2 linked regions of the Danio rerio genome follow. The protein of the gene in region 2 interacts with the protein of the main gene of each other region in a biochemical or structural test. Links are inferred from orthologs where the notes say so. Each region holds a gene or a part of one and is shown on either strand. Other genes may lie near its edges.

Region 1 (3,658 bases), on a different chromosome or scaffold from region 2:
TAAGTTACCATGGTAACTGACTCTGAGTTAAAGTTACCTTTCTTTCAGAAACAGGCTTGACTTACCCTGGTTTCTCCAGTTTGACAAACCTGCCATTTTGAAACGGAAAACCCAGAGTTTCCCTCATTTCAGGGTTAAAATACTTTACTTAACCTCCTTTCTGAAACAGGCCCCTGGACCTCACTTTTAGTAAACCTTGCAAATGAGCGACTGATCTGCTGATGCATCAGCTGACTGACAATATTTTTAAACATTTCCTTTAAAGCTTTTAGAAAAGTGCTCCACGTCTCACGCCTTCAAATTTCACCACGCGCCCACTGCGTGTCGGGATTGCCTTCTAAAGTGCAAGTCATTTATTAAATGAAAAGATTCGCGCAGCTTCTCCTACCGCAGCAAATTCCGTTTTTACTGTTGATATTTGGTGCCAGATAATCAAGAAGAGACAATTTTGTTGGCTTTGACTTGTTGGATGGAAACGCTGCTTTATACATATATATTTTTTATGCAATAATCCAGTTTTGCGCATAAATTTATTTAGCATTTTTGGATGGAAACATAGCTACGGTCAGTGATGTTATCAGCACTCAAGCAGCCAATAGTGTTCAGTTTTTTTTGCTGTCTCCTCCCTCAACATTTTATTGGCTGTGCTTGACTGAGCTGTTGTGGAACGAGTTGTTGTCAGATCATGTAGTGTGTGACCCCCTCTTGTGGATAATTTAGGTAGTGTTGCGTAGTGTAAACACCACAGCGATTTAAAGACACAAAATCAAGTCGTGTAGTGTGAACGGTACAGTGAGTTCCTTTCAAACGCATGCAAATTCAACAGACCAGAAACACAAGCTCCTGCAACAAGATTCACTGCGTTCAAAAGTTCAGTGAACCCTGACCTGTGAAATCGCATCACGTAACTGCATGATCCATTCCAAACGTGACTTTTCTGTACTGAAATTTCATAAAGCAAGCAATTGCTCCATAATTTGATGTCTTAATCATCTTGTTTTATCCTGCCCAGTTTCACAGCGTAATATGACAGAATTTTGCAACCTCAAACTCTAGTGTGACCACTGCTTTACACATTTACAAAAGGACTGTATTACATATGCCAGGCCAGTATTTGGTCTACTTGTTAGTGCTACCTTTAAGGAAGTGACAAAAGGTCATTGGCAGCTTGTTGCTGGTGTGTACATAAAATTTGCAGTGTGTGTGTGTAAGATGCGTCTCCACTTTTAGTTGTAATATGAAGTAAATCGACACTTAGATTATGGATTGTTAGCAAACAACAACACCTCCACATACTCTGTCAATGTTATGTGTTTGTGCTTGTCTTTAATCTACATTACACTAAATGCATACCATTCAGCACACATGACGTCATAAATTTCAAAGATTGTTTTTTCAGGCGTTTACACACACTCAACAATTGCAGCGTTTTCAAAAACTTCTACCTTGTGACCCATTTTTAGTCCCCAAAAATGCTGTTTTGTAAACGAACAGGAAAAACTCTTAAAAATAGTTGTTTTTGGTTGAAAACTTTGTTCTCCTAAAAGGGTGTTTTTTATCTTTCTTAACAGAAGAATGATGGTGTCAGATAAAGCCTTATGAAACCTGAAAAAGCCCTACAGGAGTGTAACTGAATCTATACTTGTCTGCATGAGCTGTTAAAATGTTTCCGGCCCCCCTCTAAATAACCAACTACTCACGTTTTCATAATTTTCAGCGCCATCACCTCCTTCCTAAGTGTGGAAACATCCTCTTCCTGCTTCTTCTTTTCTTTGTGGAGAAACTGAATGTAGTCGATTGCTACACACACAGACACACACACACACATATAAAGTTGCTGAGCCTTTTCATTCCACACAAGATGACAACAGCATATAAATAGGTATTGAAGGTTCTCACTCTTTTGCAGGACTGTAGCTTTGCTCATCTTTTGTGTGGCCATGGAGAAGTCTGACTGCTGCTGACATGTAGGCACTATAGACTGCAGGTCATCATAGCCTTTCTGTGAGATTAAAGATCCATGGAGATAATTTGAAGGAGTTAAACTTGCAACATGCAGAACTGTGCTATTTTATAAGCAAGCTACTTAGGGTTTTCAATGGCTTGGTGCAAAGTAAACACAACTCATCTTAGTATCTGCCAAGAGTTTGGGTTTTGCACTTGGAAATACAATGTGCTAATCTCGCTGTAGTTTTCCAGCAAAATAAAAGCCTGATGTTTTAAAAATAAAAAGTAATTAAGATTTAATATAAACATTATAACATACGTTTACAACTGCTAAAATTAAATTGATTCTTACACTTTATTTTTACATTGACATATTACAATATTATTATTTCTTTCACTTAACTGGTAGTAGCAATAATATACAGCATTGTGAAATTGATTTATTTTTGTATTTTTTTGTGGCCTAATGATGCAAATCAACAAAACATATCAACAGACGTACAACAGCAAACGTAGAGCTTTAAAATAATCATAATAGCAATAATAGTTTTTATAATAATAATGATCCTACTTAGGTCCCCTCCAAAGAGCCGCCATAAAATGAGCACAAAATTTTCTTGATTTTATTTGATACATTTTCTTTATGTCCTTGTTACAGTGTAACTATTTATGTAACTACTGTTTTACATGTCAATTAATTACATGTACCTACTAAATATAGGTTAGTTGTGCGTAATTATGCATAACTAACTCATTTTTATAATTGGTGTACGTATATGTAAGTAGTGGAACATATATATGGACACCTTAAATGAAAGTGTTACCTTTTTCTATTTCTTAGATTTATTATGTTTCCTAAACTAGTAAACACAAGTCAAATTAAAGCTGCAAGCAGCAATGAAAGGGACCTGGGACCACTCGGTGGCCTCAGGATGACAGAGCACAGCGAACAATAATATATTAAGCTGATAAATATCTAAAAAAAAATTCAGAAATCATCAATATATGCCAAACTTCCTTCTGTCAGCAGGTGGTGCTATGACTGTGACTCGATATTGGCATGCAGATGTCTTCAGGAGAGGAATCTTATCGAACGTGAGAATTTTCAGGCAGGTCTGTCAGTTTTAATATGTGTGCGTGAATCGTAGCTTGGAGGCTAGTCTGTTTAATGTGCATGGGTGGAGCTGTCATGTCATTTTGCCACGCCCACTTCGGAAACCTATAACAAACGTAAATTTTTGCTACTTCTGGGGCAGATGCAATGTTTTGTGAGTTTTCGGGCATGTTTAGATCAAAATCTAAACAAAATAGCGATTCATTCTGGATAAGAAAAAGAAGAGAAAGAAGAAACAGCAATTCCAACAGGGTCAGTTGTATAAACTGCTTATTGTATTCTTAAAACGTTCATCACCTTTTTTCCCCTTTAAGACTGGGCATTTGTATTTTAAAGTCAATTACAAAAAGAATGATCACTCTACTTTGAATCCAAACCAAACTGGTTACTCTAGTTTGTCATACTAGTGTACTAATAAACCAGAAAAGACTTTTATTTCGTCAGCTACTTTTTTCCATGTGTCTGTCTGTTAGCCTGAAAAGCGTCACACATACCTTGATGGCGTCCCTGCGTTTCTGCTCTGCCTGCGTGTGTGCGTGCCTCCTGCGGTCTTTATATGACTCTTTATAAGGCGTCTCATGTCTGTTGTCACTGTCT
Region 2 (3,658 bases):
TGAACAAATTTCGAGCTCTGCAATTTTAAATTCAAGCAGGTTCAAGCACTTTGTCCAAAATCCAAGAACTTTTCTAACTTTGAAAACACTATATTAAAAATCAAGAATTTTCCAGGATTTTTTAATGCAGGATTGCATTATATATGTGATTATGTACCAGTAATAAAAGTGTCTCATAATTATGCAGGCAAAATGTTAGCAGGAATTGTAAACATGGCCTGCATTCTTAATGGCACCATAGGCTTGAAGAAAAAGACTCTACAGTTGTACAATACTGTGCAGACTCTCCTCAATACATTAAGTTATTTTAAATTGTGATAGCACAATATTAAGGTTTTACTGCATTTCTGATCAAATAAATGCAGCCATGAAATTACAATTCTGCATCCTCTTCAAATACAAAAGTTTCTCTCAAAGTAATTCTGAATAATACATAAGCCTGTTAAATATTAAACGGCCTATTGCAAACACAAGAGAAGATGAGGGATGATGAAGGGCTTACACAAGGAATACCGGAGGAGGCAATGACCATACCGGTGGTGGAGACAACATCAGTGGAGAGAGGAGACGGAGTGACAATGACAGCACTGGTGGGACCTGGGAATGATGGGTATGATGATAGATGGACATTTAAAACACAATTAATAGCCCTCATTTGAAATTACAAATTTTTTTTTTCAAATATTTCCCAAAAAGCTGTTTAACAGAGAGACAAACACATTTTCAAACATAGTAGTTTTAATAACTAATTTATTTGCTTCAATTTCCTATATGGTGCAAGATACTCGTATTTAGCCTAAAGTGCCATTAGGTTAATTGAGCAGATGCTGTGGCGGTCATGGAGGAGTGGAGAGCATGAGACTGATTCCTGAAAGACCTATTGGAACCCACAAGGACCCAAGATTCTCACAGAAATCAGTCAAGTTTGGTGTAGGAAAAGTCATGGTTTGGGGTTACATTCTGTATGGGGGCGTTGGAAAGATCTGCAGAGTGGATGACTATCAAAAGTCTAAGGTATTAAGACATTTGTGCTGCTCATTATATTACAAACCCCAGACGAGGGCGAATTCTTCAGCAGTATGGCGCTCTTTCATATTTTAGCCTCAATATCAAAGTTCCTAAAAGCAAAGACGCTCCAGGATTGGCCCGCCCAGTCACCAGACATGAACATTATTAGCTTGTCTAGGGTAAAATGAAACAGGAGGCATTACAGATGAATCTAAAGAATCTTGATGAACTCTGATGCTGTGTTCACTCCAGACGTGGAACGCGCGGAAAAATTGCGCTATTCGCTCGTAAATAGCCGCGTGAACATTTGAGTTTACTTGCTTCATTCGCGCGTAAACCCCCGCTTTATTTGCGTGTCAAATCTGCTTCATTCGCGTGTCAAATTCACTTAAAAACAGACGCGGATTTGCTTGATGGGCAGGGCATCTGTCTGCCCGGTGACTCAAGCTTCATAGCTAAATGGCTAACATGGATTTTATTAAGAAAATAACAATGTTTATGTGCTTTATGGAGACTGAAAAACAGCGTTGATACGTTTAGGGTTGTGTCTGAGTCCACTGCATCCTTTCAGAGGTGCATCCAGCTCTGTGAGCTCATAAACTCCTCCAGAAACTGAACCTGGATCACGGAGGCTTTCAACGATGCTTCTGACTGAGCCCAGCCCAGTTTGACTTGTTGTCGGTGTCGCCTGGAGGATTTCCCCCGGGAGACCATCAACAGGTTCTACGTCACAATCATGCCCCCACAAGAGAAAGCTTCTGATTGGTTAACGCGGTGCGAATGTCCGCTGAAGTTCAGATTTTCGAACTCGAGAGATTCGCGCGAAACGCTCGTTAAGCGCGTCAATTCGCCCTGCGCAATTCGCGCATATCGTGCCGCAGGATGTCTATCCGCCCGTTTGCATTGACTTAACATGTAAATCACTCGCGCTTGACGCGCGTGCCATGTCTGGTGTGAACGCAGCATGAGAGTCCTGCAGGAACGCTTTCTTTGCCATTCCAGATGACTTTATTAATAGGTGATTAGAGTCACTGCAGAGATGTGTGGATGCAGTCCTCCAAGCTCATGATGGACACAATATTCATTCTGTTTCCACTGCAGCATGACTTTATATTCTATACTGGACATTATTTCTGTTAAGTGACAAGACTTTTGTCAAAGCAAAGTCAGACCTTACTGTCTTAATTAAAAATTAATATATAATAATATTTTATTTAGGTAAAAGAAGCGTAATCTAGAGGCCTTTGCCTTTCATATAAGCCACTTCTGATACCAAATATTCTGATACCAAATATTACATGGTTCGGGATCTTTAGAGCTGCACATCGATGGATTCGCTCTTCAGTGTTTGAACTCTCAGTAGTGATATTATTTGCTGTTCCAAAAACTTGGATAGGCAACAAGACTTTTGTCAGGTAGTGTATTGTATACTAATGTCTGATTTATTTAAATGCTATTGATGCATTTTTTAAACCAAATCAAACCCACATCCTAGACAACAGAACCGACAATTATGTAAACTATCCCATCGCATATCGAGCATGTTACAAAATCGATTTCAGGAGAGACACAAACCTGTCAGTATGAGCTGAGGAGACGGCAGTGGATTCGCCGGGACAATCGGTCTCTGTGAGTGTCTGGACTTTTTGCTAGAGATGGGAGGCTGGATGGATTTGGGCAAGGCGAAGTTGACTGGCTGTGAGCCGAGCGAGGCAGAGCTGGAGACTACAGGCTGTGGAGATGGCGCAGGGGGCAGCTCAAAACTGGACCTGTGGCTGACGGTAGTGGCTGCGTCAGTGGGAGTCACTGTGGAGGAGGCGGTGTGCGTTATTACTGATGAAGGCGGGACGCTCTGGCTGGGCTGGGGGACTGTAGTGACTGTGCTGAGAGGCTGTGGGGCTGAGGGGAGAGGTGGAGCTGGGGGAGGCAGGATAGACGGGACGGAGGAGCTCACTTGCTCTGTGAAAAGAGGCATGTAGGGCTGTTGGTAGGACGGACCGACGGAGTTACCATTGTCCTGGTTGGCCACCGAGAGATGGCCAGGCAGAGGAGCAGAGGGCATGAGGCGGTAGTCCAGAGGCAGAGAAGGAAGCTCCGTGGAGAGCGGCAGGGATGAAAGCAGGGAAGCCTAAACAACAAAAAGCGGATATAGATATTGAATAGGGATGTAACGGTATTGTAAATACCGTCATACCGCAATATTAATTTTTTTCGATATTACCGTAGTCGCATGACTCGGTAAAACTATAGGTCTTCTGAGAAAATTTGCTCAGGCGAATGAAGCGAACGGAAGGTACCGGAAAACTACAATTCCCATAAGCCCAGGCTTGGCCATAATCCCTTGCGGTCTGTTGTCGCTACAGATCCAGTAATGCGGAAATGGAGTGTGCTGCTAGAAGCGGGGATCAAAAAGAGCTGTAAAACTCTAAAGCGGGTGTTGTCGCCGCGCGCGTCCTGAATAGTGGTTGAAAGTTCTTATCAGCTGTGTTGTCGCGCGCGTACTGTAAAGCGGGGACGGAGGGTATGTCGCGCCGCGGGGGCACTTTTGATCATTTTGGAAGGGAACATTCTATCAAAGACTAAAAAGGGCATGTTCACTGCACAGGTTGAGCACTGTGTGTGCACGTGCCTGCAAGTTGGGGAATACAAC

The links. The genes of interacting proteins can lie anywhere in the genome.
Region 1: the proteins of mlxip (region 2) and mlx form a complex in vitro, tested with the Homo sapiens proteins (2 studies listed by BioGRID, with this or other methods). The link is inferred for Danio rerio from reciprocal best matches to the Homo sapiens genes MLXIP and MLX.

The regions. Positions count from the first base shown.
Region 1 is NC_133178.1:36,008,985-36,012,642, forward strand, and holds part of mlx (max-like protein X), read right to left. Parts: coding exon 3,556-3,658; intron 2,003-3,555; coding exon 1,900-2,002; intron 1,801-1,899; coding exon 1,701-1,800; intron 1-1,700. UniProt on the Homo sapiens protein: Transcription regulator. Forms a sequence-specific DNA-binding protein complex with MAD1, MAD4, MNT, WBSCR14 and MLXIP which recognizes the core sequence 5'-CACGTG-3'. The TCFL4-MAD1, TCFL4-MAD4, TCFL4-WBSCR14 complexes are transcriptional repressors.
Region 2 is NC_133180.1:73,337,327-73,340,984, forward strand, and holds part of mlxip (MLX-interacting protein), read right to left. Parts: intron 3,137-3,658; coding exon 2,584-3,136; intron 598-2,583; coding exon 503-597; intron 1-502. UniProt on the Homo sapiens protein: Binds DNA as a heterodimer with MLX and activates transcription. Binds to the canonical E box sequence 5'-CACGTG-3'. Plays a role in transcriptional activation of glycolytic target genes. Involved in glucose-responsive gene regulation.